Caenorhabditis elegans: one gene and its partner. The protein of the gene in region 1 interacts with the protein of each later gene in a pairwise test. Each region holds a gene or a part of one and is shown in the gene's direction. Other genes may lie near its edges. The genes, in order: F20B10.3 and R02F2.5.

Region 1 (8,269 bases):
TATATCAAACTTTGGATTGAAGATCAGGCTTCACAAAAAGAAATGAAGAATCTCAAGGCAAAGAGGATCGAATTGAAAATGAAACAGAAGAAATTGAAAGCTGAGCTCAACGATGAAAAGATGAAGAATCAGAAATTGGAAGAGGCAGCTTTCAACGACAGAAAAGAAAAAGCTGAGTTGAAAAAGAAAGTCTCCAATTTGGAACAATCTGCGCAAAACACCCAGAGAACTCTGCAAAATCAAACCAGAGAATTGAACTTATATAGTACCGTAAGTCCTTCTACTGAAGCTTCCACCTAATTAACTGCACTATTTCAGAACAGATCCTGGCTCCGAAAAGAGTTTAACAGTACTAACCTCTTGGAGCATCTCCGACGCAACTACCACGACCTTTCCAAAAGATTGGAACAATTTGCCTTTAATTGAAAAAAATGGCAAGATACACATAACTCCTGTACCAGTTATCTGAAAAAAGATGACTTCATTTACTAATTGAAACTGAATTTTGATGCTGTCAATTCTTGTAACATTCATTGATTGTAACTGAAATGTGAAAACATTGCTGGATAATAAATTCATTGTTAATAATAGAGCTTTAAATCATATGGAACTTTCAAAAAACAACTTGAGAAATTCAGAATAAAACTATTTCAGATTTGTAACGAAGCATGTCACGCAGATGGAACATTTTTCAGAAAAGCTGCAGTATCTAAAACAATTTCAGAGTGTGGCTGAAGATAATAATTTTTTGGAATTTAGAGTAAATTTTTACTGGCAGCTAAACTAAAACCGGAATTTCAATTGAATTTTGAACGGTGAGTGCCGATTTTTTTGTTTATAAAAATATTCAGAAATGAATGAGTGAATCTGTGAAATTTTAACAAATTTGGGTGTTTGTGGTTGACGATAATAATTTTTGAAACTTGCATTTTTTTTTTGGAATTTGGAGTAAATTTTTAATATACTGCTGAAAGTTGTTCCAATTTTGAAGAATAACTTGAAAGCCTTTCCAAGAACAGATCGTTGTTGAAAATTGTAAAATTAGTGCAAACCGTTCCAAATACACTCGGCATTTGGCTCCAGCTTCCTGCCCAAGGTTGGTCAGAAAAATATTAATTTGGTTCAGAAGTTGGCTAAACTTGGGAAAAAATTGGACAAGACTTTGGCTGCGACAAAAATTTCACCCAAGTTTGGCCCAACTCTTGCCAAACTTTAACGCACGTTTAATATAAAGCAAGAAAAGTTCCGGCCAAAGTTTGACAAGAGTTGGGCCAAACTTGTGTTAAACTGTCGCAGCCTACATCTAAGTTTAACAAAAGTTTTCGGGCCAAACTTAGACAAGAAGCTGGAGTCAATGCCGAGCATACAACTTCAGGGCAAACTCATGTACATACACCTAAGAATGTGAAGCAGCTGCCAAGGAATCAGAGTCAATTTTTATAATACATTTTAAAACAAAATTCTAAAGTTTTTATTCGCAACCTACGAGCTTGATATTTTAATTAGGTTTTAATTAATAGCGTCCAAACACTTTAAAGGTTACAGTTTTAAAATTGTCACAATTTTGATTTAACAACCTTTGGCTTTGAACTCTCTACAGTTCTTTGCTTTTACCATTTTTGATTTTGAACTACCTTAATTTTTTTGGGTTATTTTGCTGTAAGTCGTCACAATTTTGAATTTGTTACGTTGATAAAATGCATCTAAAACAGAACAACAAATTGCATGTAAAACTATTAAATAAACAGTTTCCAGAACAATATTTGTCATTTCAAGTGAGATAAAAAGTTAAGGGAAATGTGCGTCATGCTTTTTCAAATTTGTTCTAATATTTGCATTCTCTCTGTCTTCTCTCCTCGTCGCAACAATTGGTGTGAATCCCTCCAAAAATGTTTCCGGTCTTATCACTCATGTTCTTTGCTCTCATTTCCTTGGTCTCGGAAAGGTGCAAACTGTCTTTGTGCTGTGCCAATCTTTCTTCCGAATTCCAAATTCGCAAAGTAAAGTCTCCCGTTTTGTCATTTGATTAGACTAAAACACACGGAATCTCCGAGAAGAAATAAGCAATGATGATGATTTGTTGTGTTTGTCTGCTCAAATGATAGGGGGAGATCATTGAAAACGTGTTTCGGTCACTTTTCGAACGATGTGATTCTTATCGAGAATGCCGATAAATTCACCCACGCCTTTTTCAGGTACTTCAGGGGAAAAAGAGCAAACACATACGTTGTTGGAATGTTTTTGATATCAGATTCCGTCATCATGGGAACATTTTTGATCAATAGAAGCTGGCAAGAAGTTTCTAAATATTTTCAAGTTTGACAAAAAGTTTCTTCAGATCGGCAAGAAGTTTTTCAAAAAGCTGTGCTTCGCATGCGATAAGCTATTTAATAAATTGTCAAAGGCTTTTTTAAACGTTTCAAAGCTTTACAAAAATTAATTAACCATAGCGACAAGGTTGCAAAAGTTTCCCAGAAAATGCCAAAATTTTTCAAAAAGTTGTGAAAAATAGAAGTTTGCAAAACTGCCACAAGTTTCTGAAAATTTGTTAAAACTTTCAAAGTAGTTTTCAAAAATGTTCCAACTTTTCCAAGACGGTGGAACAGATTTTGAAAAAGTTTTCAAGTCTTTCCAAAGGTTTCAAAAATTTGCTAAAAAGCTGAAAAAGTTATCCAAAGAGTTTCTAAACTTTTCGAAGTTGTCTTGAAGTGGGCACAAAAAATAGTATGCAGATGTTGAAAGTTGCCAAAAAGTTGCAAAAATTTGTGGAAAACTTTTCAAGGTTGATCAAAAGTTTCAAAAGTTTACCAAGTAGCCTTGAAGTGTGCACCAACTTCTGAAACGGTTTCTATACAGAAATACTGTGACCATTTTCTGGAGGAAACTGGCAAAAAGTATTTGAAAAGTTGGGAACTGTTTTGGCGAATGTTAAAGTTGAAGTTGAAGCTGTAAATTTTGAATTTTTCGGGAAATATTCTGGAGATATTTTATAGTCCACGGACATATAACTATTTAGTAAAATTCTTCCTATGCTCCATTTCAAAAGTACCAGGTTCAGCATCTCCCAATGTCAACTCAATGAATCATACTCTTATAATAGCACTCGAAAGTTCACATGCTCATGGAACCTGTTTAACTTCTGCCGCTGATGTCACTTATTAAAACTTTAATGATGACACATCAACCTCAACTTTAGACATTATGATTTCAATGTTAAAATCACTTCAAAGTACTGCGTATGTCTTGTTTCCGCGTCGGCTATTGCTCCTGCTCCCACGCCAAACTGACCTGTCCTGTTTTGTGTGTGTATTTGTGCATGTTTGCAAATGAGTGTGCACAATCTCTCCTCCAGACACACTTTTTTTCGACGACCGGAGTACTACGTGTGCGAGCTCATCTTCGAATCCATCGAGACAACGGCCGGCCCCGGTAATATTTACTTTGAGACCAAAAGTCAACGTGTGTCCTCTTTAAATTTATTGGAACAATTAGTGTACTCAAGGTGAGAACATGATGAAAAACTGGAAAAAAATGAGAAAAAATTGAGAGCAAAAGAGCAATTACCTGAAAGAAAACAAAACAAATATGTGGCAAAATGATGGGGTTACCCTGAAACTTCAAAAGTTGACAAACATATTTGAAGAAAGTCCAGATGCTTTTTTTCAAAAAAAAAATGTAGAAGTCAAGCGTAACTTGCTTTGAAAATGCCTACCTTGCTACGCATAACATTACTTTTTACAATTCTCTAACCGAATAGGTCACAGATTTTATAAGCTTTGTTTTATTTATAAAACATTTTATAAAAAAATATTTACTGTTTCTGGTAAATAATATACCAAATATTACAATTAAATTTCCAATTAGGCATGTAACGTGACTACAAAACATGCCTACTTAAAAAGGTAAGTGTCACTTTTAAGGCAAGTTAGTCATGTCTAGTAGGCATGCAGATAGGCTTTCTTTACTTTATATACCTACGGGGAAGACTTATATTTTAAAGAAACGAAAACTTTTGAAAAGGTGAACACATCTTAAATATTGTTTTGATGTAGGCACAAAAATTCGTACATGTCTGCCTACAAAGTAGGATTAACTATTACTATTACAAGGTTTGATGAAAAACTTTGTCGGTACAGTGAGCTTAGGCTAGGTACGCCTATAGGCACGCTAGCAGGCAACCTTTTTTTTCCATGAGCACCCAAGCTCCAAAGGTTCTCTCAAGAAAAAATAAAACAATTGCAAAATTGAACCGTACTTTGTAGTCCACAGCAAATGTCATATTGTCTTTTAAAATTGTCAGTGCCTTGTCTCTCTCTTTTTCCGCGCGCGCGGCGCCTCTCGCGTAAATCAGCGGAGAGGAGGAGCTCATGGAAACAAACAAGGAATTGAGAAGGCGGGCACACGCAACTTACTCGACGTGGCGTTTTCTTATGTGCCAGACTATAAAAGAAGCATGGAACAGAGAGTGACAGGTACACACTTCTTTTACTCATTTTCAATTTTTTTAAAAACATTTTCCAAATTTTCTAGTTTTTGAAGAGCTTTGCATATTTATTTTTTAGAAAAAAATGACTCGTCGTTTTGCCCTTATTGCTTTGTTGTTTGCATTGACTTCTGCACAAACTACAACTCAATCAAAACAAATCAGTCTGGATCCGAACGCTGGACCACTCAAACTTCGCATTGTTTTCCAATCCGAACAGCCACCACAGGTACTTTGAATTTACCTTTCATTTTTAAAATTGTTCTATCTTTCCTGAAGGTTCAACAAACTCCGTGTTCTACCGGTAACTGTCAGCCCACGCCGACCTTGAGCCCATGTGCTTCTGGAAATTGTGGCTCAGTTCAGCCAGTTCAAGCTTCTCCGTGCTCTACTGGAAACTGCGGAGTCACTCAACAGGCTTCCGCATGCTCTACTGGCAACTGCAATGGACCTGTCGCTGGATCTGCCAATGTTGTTCCAGTTTTTGATGCCTCGATCTACACGGTATCCCAAACAAAACTTCCAACTCATTGTACTTTTCAGTTTTCAGACCACGACCCCAATGCCTATCCCAATCCGAACCATCTCTTCAAACACTGCACCAATCAAGGTGATCCGTGTTCCATCTTATTCCAACTCGAACAACGGATGCTTCTCCCCACCATGCGGAGCTCCAAGATTCATTTTCGCTCAACCACCATGCTTCGGAAACTCGTGTGGTCCACGATTCATGTTCCCACGTCGTCGTCATTTCTTCGGACCACGACCAATCATCATCGGAAACAGAAATAACGGAAACATCAATGCCGGAGGAAATGTTGCTGTTCCAGATACAATCTACAAGAACGGAATGGCAATTCGTGCTCCAATTCGTGTGCCAAGCAGTTATCAAGATGGGAACCCAGTATTCAACTCTGGAAAGTAATCTCCTTTCAGCTCAATGTCATCACTACTTGTTTGTAATTATTGAAATCTCTTTCACATTCATATCTCATTGTTGGTTTTCTTTACATAATTTATGAGAGTTTTAAAATAAAAAGTTAATAAGTGTTTGAAAATATGTTAGAAAAGAATACAAAATTCCACAATTTTTTTTAAACCTTTTCGCAGATAAAAAAATTCTCCATAATTCTCAGTTTTAAAAATTTTGAAAACCAGTGAAGTCTTGATAATCCATATTTTCCATAATTCTCAGTTTTAAAAATTTTGAAAACCAGTGAAGTCTTAATATTCCATATTCTCCATAATTCTCGGTTTTAAAAATTTTGAAAACCAGTGAAGTCTTGATATTCCATATTCTCCATAATTCTCGGTTTTAAAAATTTTGAAAACCAGTGAAGTCTTGATATTCCATATTTTCCATAATTCTCGGTTTTAAAAATTTTGAAAACCAGTGAAGTCTTGATATTCCATATTCTCCATAATTCTCGGTTTTAAAAATTTTGAAAACCAGTGAAGTCTTGATATTCCATATTCTCCATAATTCTCAGTTTTAAAAATATTGAAAACCAGTGAAGTCTTGATATTCCATATTCTCCATAATTCTCGGTTTTAAAAATTTTGAAAACCAGTGAAGTCTTGATATTCCATATTCTCCATAATTCTCGGTTTTAAAAATTTTGAAAACCAGTGAAGTCTTGATATTCCATATTCTCCATAATTCTCAGTTTTAAAAATTTTGAAAACCAGTGAAGTCTTAATATTCCATATTCTCCATAATTCTCGGTTTTAAAAATTTTGAAAACCAGTGAAGTCTTGATATTCCATATTCTCCATAATTCTCGGTTTTAAAAATTTTGAAAACCAGTGAAGTCTTGATATTCCATATTTTCCATAATTCTCAGTTTTAAAAATATTGAAAACCAGTGAAGTCTTGATATTCCATATTCTCCATAATTCTCGGTTTTAAAAATTTTGAAAACCAGTGAAGTCTTGATATTCCATATTCTCCATAATTCTCGGTTTTAAAAATTTTGAAAACCAGTGAAGTCTTGATATTCCATATTCTCCATAATTCTCAGTTTTAAAAATATTGAAAACCAGTGAAGTCTTGATATTCCATATTCTCCATAATTCTCGGTTTTAAAAATTTTGAAAACCAGTGAAGTCTTGATATTCCATATTTTCCATAATTCTCAGTTTTAAAAATTTTGAAAACCAGTGAAGTCTTGATATTCCATATTCTCCATAATTCTCAGTTTTAAAAATTTTGAAAACCAGTGAAGTCTTGATATTCCATATTTTCCATAATTCTCAGTTTTAAAAATTTTGAAAACCAGTGAAGTCTTGATATTCCATATTTTCCATAATTCTCGGTTTTAAAAATATTGAAAACCAGTGAAGTCTTGATATTCCATATTTTCCATAATTCTCAGTTTTAAAAATTTTGAAAACCAGTGAAGTCTTGATATTCCATATTTTCCATAATTCTCGGTTTTAAAAATTTTGAAAACCAGTGAAGTCTTGATATTCCATATTTTCCATAATTCTCAGTTTTAAAAATTTTTAAAACCAGTGAAGTCTTGATATTCATATACAGTCAATACATAAAAATGGGAAATTTCTAAACCTCCGTCAGTCTAGTGTCAAATGCAAATTTTTATTCGCAAAAAGAAATTAGTGGTTTTTTCAGAAATTTCTAAAAAAAAGTAACATAATTAAAATTCAAATCATTTATTCAACAGATAAAAATAACCCGTTTCAAGAATCATCAGACGAAAGACAATTTGTAAAAAACTGAAGAGAAGTTATGGAAAAAGTGAGAATCAAGACCCGAACGAAAAATTTAAGTGGCAAGTTTCAGAAATTTCAGCAGAAATACTCTTTGTTGGAAGCATATGTTGGATTATTATTATTATTGCTAGTTGTATTATGTACTAAAGGCTCTTCACTTCGACTTGGAGAACAGTTTTCACCTGGAAAAGATACATTTGTAAAATGGAAAATTTACAAATTCTATTTACCTGTCTCATTAGTTTTATAGACACCTTCTGGTCGAGACCTCATGTAACAAATCAATGAACTCATACACAGTATGAATAGAGAAAGTGCCAAGATACCACCTCCAATTACTGCAATTTTTTAAAAATTGGATTTATTTTTAAAGTTAATAAATTTGAACTCACTTGCTTTTGACACTAGATCTTGTTTATTTTGGGAAACGGAAAATATTTTGATATCCTCCGTCGATGTTTTTATTGTGGAGGAGATTAGGTCTGGTTGCGGGTTGAAATCGTACATTTGTTGACGAGATCTGAAAATTGTAATTTTTAGGTGAGAAATAAGACTGCAAATGTATGATTATAAGGCCCTAATAGCACTATAATAGATAATATAGGACCACTTACACAGCTTCTATTGGGCATGTTCCAAATCGAATTTTCCCCGAATAGTTTAGTCTTGCAGTTTTTGGATTCTTTAACGGGAATGCGGATCCGGTCTGAATTCGAGACACACAACCTTCGAAATCTGAAAATTTAATGTTTAATTCCAATTATTTCAAAAAACCAGATCAACGTACTTTCATCAAGGAAATGCCAAACATTGAAACTTTCGAAAAATGTCCAATTTCCTTCAATCGTAATCACTTGCATCCCATCAACTGATACATTGAAATGATGTTTCGAAGCACAAAATGAGATGTCATGCATTATATCATCACTCAGATTATGTCGTTTTGATTGTCTCTTGAAATGGAAAAAGAATCCATCGTAAGCCATCATTTGTAGGTTTCCTGAAATAAAGACAATTTTATAGATAACGTTTATTTGGTCTGTCGGTTTTCAG
Region 2 (8,285 bases), on another chromosome or scaffold:
TATTTATTAGAAAAAAGGAAAAGATCTTTGTATTCTGATCACGGGCACGTAGACTTGATAAGAGAAAAATTGAAACTTTAGAACAAGTATTAAAATCTCTGTGAGAGGTTGGTGTTCATGACCGTGTGACTGGTGTTACTTAAACTATGCTATGCTTTGGTGGTAATTTTTTTAAAGCCACGCTCTATAAGGATCCGGCACTAAATTTTCCGGTTCTTCCAGGTGCCTGCCTCCGACATGAACATGCTCTACTGGTCCGATGAGCTGGCCGCTTCAGCTCAACGCCACGCGGACACCTGTGATTTCCGTCACTCCCGTGGACGCATCAACGTCGGCGAAAACATCTGGGCGGCGCCGTACAGTAACTATTCTGACGCTATCTCGATCTGGTTCAACGAGGTAATTTCAAATATTTTTCTATTTTCCTTGCATCTTCCATAATTACCATCAATCTTTTGTAGGTCCATAATCCAAGATGTGGATGTAACCATGCCTATAAACACTGTTGCGGTCACTATGTTCAGGTTCTATTAATCCCTTTTTCTAAGTGTACAAATTAAATAAAATCAACTAATTTAGGTTGTCTGGGCAAAGACGAATCTCGTCGGATGCGGCTTCTCCCGTTGCCGTGACGTTCAGGGTGTCTGGGGACGTGGACATCGTAACGTATTCGTCTGTCACTACAATCCACAGGGAAATACGGTATTCGTCACTGCGAGAGGACAGCTTTATGCGGTTCGTACGTCCTTGTCTCCCTCACTTATGTTATTTTGAGTTTCTTGCTAACCGTTGCTTTCGCCTAATTTGAGTGCAGTGAATTTGGTTTCTTGTGGGCTGGTGTCTCCTTTGGCTTTGCTGAAGGTTGTTGATTGAAATTGTCAATTGGTGAAATGTACAAATTATCACATTTTGTCCGTTGACAATATTTTGATCCGACCACTCTCCGCTAAAAAGCAAGGGTTTAAAAAATAATTGTTAAAAATTGAAAAATTGTAACTTGGTCAAAGTAAGAGTTATTAAATGCATTATTGGCAAATGTAGCAGTTAACAACTTTTAAAATTCAATTTTGATGAAACTGCGGGAAGATCAAACAATTTCTAACTTAAACATTGTAGATCTCAAAATATTTTTAAAAAACATTTTAGTTGACAATGTTTTGATCTGACTGTTCTCTGCTGATATCCAGCAGTTCCGAGTTTGAAAATGTTAAATTTTTGTTCGAAATCTTCAAACGCCTTAACTTTGTAAAAGTAAGAGTTCTCAAAAATTGTCAACTGGTAAATGTTAGTCAAAAAATGTTTGAATAAATTGCCAATTGCCAATTATTTAATATTTACAAGCTCCGCAAGTCATCGTTTGAATAAGGACATCTTCAAGATGTTTTCCATTTCTAACCATTTCTAACCGTTTGAATGATACAGTTTCAAAATTAATAGTTTTCTATTTTCGTTAAATATTTTCAAGTTTTCGTATTTTTGCAGAAGGACCTAGAGTCCGCAGAAAACAGTATAACAGTATAAACTTTTTCTTGTAAAAAGATTTCCCCTTTTTTAAATTGTTTTGAAACTTATGATTTTCAAGGAGATATAGCTGTTCAAAAGTGACCCCCTTCAAATTTGCTAGATGATTTGAAACTCAATTTGAGCAATTTTCTTAGTTGACAACTTTTGGTATTGCTGATTTTCATTAAAAAATTGGAACTCAGTTCTTATTTTACCAAAAATTAAATATTAATTTTCACTGAACTCCTTATTCCAGATGCCAGCTTTCACCTGGGCTTCCGGTGACAATGGAAAATGCTCCAACTGCCCAGCAAATGCTCCAGCCTGCTACCAAGGGCTCTGCTACATGCCAAAGAACTACGAGGCTCCGACTACAACAACGGAATCCACCACAACATCTACAACAACTGAGGAACCAACGACAACTTGTGAGCCCGATGAACCAGAAGCTGAGGGAGCTGACAATAATCAAGAAGAAGAAGAAGAAAACAACGACGGGTTCCGAATGAGAGTTTAAGCTTCTTTCATGGTACCCTACCTTCTCCCACATTTAATACCGGATGAACTACTTGGATTGCTTACCGAACGGGTGTGCATACCGCTGCATTTATTTATTCATTTATATATATAGGTGTATGTGTATGTATTGGTGATATACCGAGATTTCTACGAATTGATGATATTCAATAAAAACTACAGTACAATTCTATCGTTTTTATCAACGTTTTTATCAGCGTTATTATCAACATTTTCAGGTCCATACACCATTTTGAGCCTACAAGCCTATCCGCCTATCTCACTCCCTCGTGCCTACCTGTGTTTGCCTTCGCGCCTTCCTTGTTAACCCCTATTTTCGTGAATGTTAGCTGTCTCAAATTGAACTTCATTCGTGCCTAAATAATAATAATAAAAATCTGGAAAAAAATAATTTAAAAAGTCGAAAAGTTTAACATTTACGTGTAAAACTTTCCAAAAATCAATTTCAAACTCAAAGAAATTCATTTCTGAAAGCCGTGAGAAAATGGGATGCTGCGGTTCAAAAAACAAGCAGAATAGTAGGAATTCAAATCGAAATGGACAACAAATGGTAGGTACTGTAGGATTACGCTCTGCAGAACCAAGTTTCGATTGGTTTACTGTAGTGGTACGGTAGCGGGTTTCATAGGTTTATTGCAAGATTACGGTAGCTCATCGTTGTAATTACAGTGTTACTGTAGTAATACTGTACTTGTACGCTTAAGCTTGCATCAGCTTTCGCTGCGAACTCTTTTGAAACCAAAGTACTACGTGTTGTTAGGGGTACGGTTGGCGCAGGTTTATTACCTGGTTACTGTAGAGTCACTATAGTTTTGCACACCTTTTACAATCTCGACAGCATTCATTTTTAGAGATTCCTCGTCTCAAAAACTATATTTTCAGAATCAAACCGGAACCCAATCAGGCCCCTATCCTGCCCAGAATCAACCTCAGAATAGGAATCAACCTCCACCTCCACCTCGACAGCAGCAGCAGCAACAAGCTCCACCTCCCAATGGACAGAAGCCTCCACAACCTCAACGTCAACAACCGTCTCCAGGTCTCCCGTACCAGCCACAACCGCCTCCTGCGTATGGGGCTCAACAGCCATACTATCCACCGCAACAGCAAGTCGTAGTGGCTGCTCCTCCGCCAGTGGTCATTGTGGATCCTTATCCATGTTATGGAGGTGGAATGTACTACGGTGATCCATTCTATTGTGATCCGTTTATGTTTTAATCGAGATGTCAAATGAAAAGTAAGAAGAAGATGAAGTGACTTGAAAATATTTCCGATAAGAAATAATTGATAATTGATCCTTTTTTTGCAATAAAAATAGTCTGAGATTGTTTTCTAAAAATTAGTTAATCGGTCCGAAACTGGCAAATTGATCCACCAAAATTTATCCACGGGAAGTGTCGACTGCTGGCATTAGAAAAAGGAAAGTGTCGGCCGCTTCCATTTCTGCGTGAACGCCTTGCAGTTATTTTTTTGGAAATGATTTATTTTTCAAATGTTCAAACTTGCCGCTAAAAAATTTTATTCCCAACTTACTTTATAATCAAAAGAACTCAAATATATCGATGAAAAATGGGATGCTGTCAATCGAAGAAAGCTAGAAATAATCAACGGAACAACCAACGCTCGGACCAAATGGTAAGTCTCCAAGTTTCATATGAGGTGACCGTGCCTGCCTATAATCCCTGTTCCGGGTTCCATAAAAAAAACTGAATAGACACAAGGCAGACGAAGGTCGCCTTGAAGTCAAGCTCAAGAACTCCTCCTTGTACCTCAACTTTTCAGAATCGTCAGCACACTCAACCATCTCCAAACGCCTCGACAGAGCAAATGGTAGGGAAAATCGATAATTTTCCGAAAATCAATAAAAGAAAATATCGATTTTTCAGGCATACCCTCGACAGCAGCCTCAAGGGATCCCACAGGGACCTCCACCGGCCTACGCACCTCCAGCAGCACCGAAAGCTCCTGAGAAAGTCGTGGAGCCCAAAAATAGGAGAGTAACGATTGCAGAACCACCGGAGAGAGTTGCGGAGCCATCACCAACGCCTGAAGATCCAGAGCTTTTTACTTGCATCGACCAAACGGAGAAAGAGGTTGAAAAGGAAGTGGAGAAGAGAAAGTCTGCTCCGCGAGCCCCAGTCCCGGCACCTACACCAGCTCCTCAGGCAGCTCCCCAGGCAACTCCGGCTGCACCTGCTCAAGCTTACCCTCAACAACAACAAGCTGCTCCCGTGGTCTATGGATCCCAACCAATGGTCATGGGTGCTGCTCCGGTGGCTCCAGTTGTCATGGCTCCGCCGCCAGTGATCATGAGCCCTTATCCATATTATGGAGGTGGTGTTATGTTCGACCCATATTATAATGGATTTTATGGAGGATATGGATACGGAGGTTTTGATTTCGGGTATGGAGGATATGGTGGTTATGGATGCGGATTCTATTGACTTTTTTGAACTCTTTTGTGTTTTTTTGGAATAAATTTTTTAATTGAACACTTAAAAATCAACAGAACAAGATGAACAATCAACAACATAAAAATGGATATTATAACAAAAAAAACAATTAATAAATTCGCTTCGAAGCCCTCGTGATCGTAGAAAGGAACTTCTTGTATCGGGTTCTCTCAACAACTGGAAGATTCGTGGCGAGCAACGCGGATGCATTTTTATCGGCCAGTGAATGTAGTTTTGACATGGCAAGTAGACTGTCTGATCCATAGAATACTGCGTCTCCAATGATTGATGCAGTCAGCTGAAGAATAAAAATTTAGACCGTTTTTGAGAATAATTGAAGGTTTTTTTAAAATTTCAATTTAGTCGTTTTTCTTGGTAACTTTTACCAAAACATACTCAACAAGCTCCCCCTAATTTCGAAAATTAATAAGTTGACAGAATTTTTAAAAAAAATCGAGTTCGAGAAGAAATAGTGATTATTACAGATTATTTAAAATTAAAATGTCTATTTTCTTCTTTAAAAAAAAGGGAAATTTCTCAAGAAATACTAGTTCTCATTTTTATCAATTTGACAATCCTGAAAAAAAAGATAAAACGTTTTAAAATGGGTTTTCAAAAAAGAACTTTAATTTTAAATGTTTTTTAAAACTCTTCTCCAACTTCTACAATTTTTCTTCTTTTTTTTCAATATTTAAAAACTAGAAAAAAATTTATGTAATTTGTTATGGGGTTATTCAAGTAGTGTCGGAAAATTAAAAAGTGTAGAAAAATTACGTCACAACCTTATTCAAGTAGATAAAAACATGTATTTAAATACATTTGTGACGTCACAAATGTATTTAAATGCATTTTGCTACATTACTTGAATAACCCCATTAGACAAACGACTCAAAAAATAGTGTTCACGATTTTTTTAATATTAAAATTCGTATAAATTTTTTTAATTATCGACAAATGGACGATGTTCAAAAAACAATTTTTCAAATTAAAATACTTTTTTAAAAATTTTTTTCAAAAATAGTTTAACCATCGAAAAACTCCCAGTTTTTGATTTTTTATTTATTTCGAGTTTTCAAGAATATTAAATTTTTTCTAAAATGTTCAAAATCTTACCATTGCAAAATACGATTCATTCCTCTTCATTGCATCTACTAATCTTGCCAAATCCTGACTCAATTTATGACGGCGGAGCACAAATTCAGTTTCCATTTCAGGCGAAAGTGTACGCGACGCGACCGCGTTCAGACTATTCCTCACGAATTTTTGAGAATTCTTCAAAACTTGGCTAAAAAGTTGACAGAAAAGTGCAGTGAATGATTTTAGCACTGAATTCTTCGCCGATTTCATTGCTATATCAAGCAGATCAATCGTCTCCACAAGTACTGTAAACCATGATTCATCAGATTTCTCGGTTCCCGGAGCCCGATCCATTTCAGTCCAACCGTCGGCAGCAATTCGTGAAAACACTACTTGAACAGCTAATGATTCCAGTTGACTTCCACCATACATTTCAATTATCAACTTGAAAAGCTTCATCTCGTCAATGCTCTCGGCTCCAGGAATCTCTTCGACGAATTTTACAACAGAATCTGCAAAAAACTTGGGTAAAAGAAATTATTTTTTTTAATAGTTGTAATTAAAAATGATTACCAAAGACTTCCTTTTTCGTCTCCGCTGTATGAACTCCTTGGAGCAAGCTTAAGGCTTCTGCCACTGCAAATTCCGGCTCTCGGAGCTTCTCAGCGACATCCGCGGCGGTTCTATTCACAAATTTGACTGGAGCAGCTTCCTGAGCCACTTTCTTGAAAACCTTCAAAATATTCTCATTTTCAGATCCCTTTCCTGCTTTTATCAGCTTTTCCAGAACGTCCTTCGGTAGAGTTTTCAGGATTTTCTCGCAAAAGTTCCAGTTATCGAAGATTAGTGAAATATTGATTGAAAGAAGGGCAAAAGCAGCCGAGAAATTGTCGTTTTCCGGTTTTTCTGTGACATTGTGAAGGAAATCCTGAAGATTTTCGAGATTTTTAAGCTTCTTGCTAGCGGTAATTTGGCGAGTGTTGGAGCAGGAATTGATGATTGAAGGGAGATGCTTTGTGATTTCTTTTAGTCTGAAAAAAAAAATAAAGGTTAATTTAAAAAAATCCAGACTGATTTTTAATTTAAAATCGAGATTAATTGATTGGTTTCAACTGATTTTTCGCTATTTTTCAATGAAAATTATATAATTTTCTATCAAACTTTCACCATACTTCAACGTTTTCAAGTTTTCGATGAAAATGAGCTCCGAATCGTTGAGGTCAAAAGTGCTCCGTAAAACTGAAATCATCGCGTAGTAAATGCACGGGGACATGCATACTTCAGCAGTTTGGCATCGACGGGCAAGTTGCTTTAGCTGAAATTTTAAAAAATAAAATCGTCTGAAAATTTCAAATTTTTACCTCATTTTTGGCTAAATTATCCTCAATTACTTTGGCAAGAAGCTGAGAGCACGTGGATTCTGAGAGAATTCCAGTGTAGAATTCCAGATGATTTTCGTAGATCTTTGAGAGCTGAAAATTAAAATAAAACTTTTAAATAAAACAAGATATTTCTCACCATTTCAAGTTGATTCTCGTCGATTTTCGTTTCTGGCAACTGTCCAGGCTCACCGCCGGCTAAAGCACTGACCATTCTCATTCCAAAATCTTTTTTCATGGATTTCTCCGGTAAAACTTGATTTTTCCAGAATTCTGCCAAAGATTCAAGATTTTGATGGTCTCCATATACCTGATCAGCTAGGAGGAGGCTTAGGAAGGGATAGGCAAGAGCTAAGGCGTCCGCTGAAATTTTTAAATTGAATTTAAGTTCTTAATATTTATATAGTTACCTTTACGTTCTTGTCTCCACGTATTCTGAATTACCACAGGAATTCCTTGCTTCATGTTTTGCAGAAGTTTTCCGAAACCATGGCCAAGAAGATTAGAGGTACTGATGAACTCGTTAGCAATTCTGATTTCGTTTCTAAAAATTACATTTTGCAATTTCAAATTCAGAAATTTTTAAATTACATTGATTCTGAAGAATTGAGATGTTCTTCGATCAATTTCCAGCATGCCAAGGCAGAATCCACACCGAGAATCGAGAAATGTTTGCGGAAAATTGAAAGAAACGCTTCATCAACGTGCGCTTCGGATTTCTGAATTAAACTAATTTATTATTTCATCTCTATCACTATTTTCAGTACCTTCTCCTTACAGATCTTCAAAGTTGCCTCCAAAATCGCTTGCGGGCGCCGACTGGCTTGAATTTTGTTGAGAAGGTCTTGCGCGGCCTTGTTGTCGCCTGAAGATTAATACTTTATATGTTTCAAAGCGTTAAAAAATTACTAATAAGTGCGAGAGCAATTGGTTTTTCTATGTTTTCCTCAGGTTTTTGCGAGTGCGCTCCGATTGCGTCTTTGAGAGCACTTGTCAGCTTTCTGCGTTTTTTATCTGGTCCATCAGCCATCTAAAAAGAATATTTTAATACTTACGTTTGTATTTGATCATAGGAAAACAGAATAAAATTCAAAAATTTGGTTTTATTTGAAGAAAATCACGGAAAAAATTGGCTAAAAAGTGAAAATTGCAAAGGTGCTCTGTCGCACTTTTTTTTGGCGGAGGTTTAAATGAGTTTTTTAGAAAACAATATTAGGAGTATAGACGGCAGAAAGATTTATGACAAAATCATATGTAAAATGTATAATATAAAAGTCAATGAACAAAAATTATTTCAGTTTCTTAGAGAATATAAGAAGTTTCGACACAAACAGCG

Evidence for each region.
Region 2: the proteins of F20B10.3 (region 1) and R02F2.5 interact in a two-hybrid assay, tested with the Caenorhabditis elegans proteins (2 studies listed by BioGRID).

The regions. Positions count from the first base shown.
Region 1 is NC_003282.8:12,163,682-12,171,950, forward strand, and holds F20B10.3 (CC domain-containing protein), read left to right. Parts: upstream 1-4,562; 5' UTR 4,563-4,568; coding exon 4,569-4,712; intron 4,713-4,762; coding exon 4,763-4,987; intron 4,988-5,033; coding exon 5,034-5,408; 3' UTR 5,409-5,535; downstream 5,536-8,269. Other genes in the region: eri-12 (Enhanced RNAI (RNA interference)), read left to right, coding at 1-270, 319-426; nlr-1 (Neurexin like receptor 1), read right to left, coding at 7,292-7,398, 7,447-7,554, 7,609-7,736, 7,831-7,951, 8,004-8,216.
Region 2 is NC_003281.10:5,475,795-5,484,079, forward strand, and holds R02F2.5 (Prion-like-(Q/N-rich)-domain-bearing protein), read left to right. Parts: upstream 1-3,523; 5' UTR 3,524-3,609; coding exon 3,610-3,675; intron 3,676-3,822; coding exon 3,823-3,870; intron 3,871-3,926; coding exon 3,927-4,484; 3' UTR 4,485-4,534; downstream 4,535-8,285. Other genes in the region: Protein lon-1, read left to right, coding at 223-399, 462-524, 580-735, 1,760-2,020; R02F2.10 (Prion-like-(Q/N-rich)-domain-bearing protein), read left to right, coding at 2,525-2,590, 2,923-3,258; R02F2.6 (uncharacterized protein), read right to left, coding at 2,888-3,130; R02F2.7 (Myb-binding protein 1A-like protein), read right to left, coding at 4,603-4,791, 5,607-6,082, 6,144-6,601, 6,743-6,885, 6,932-7,042, 7,089-7,312, 7,360-7,493, 7,541-7,668 and 2 more.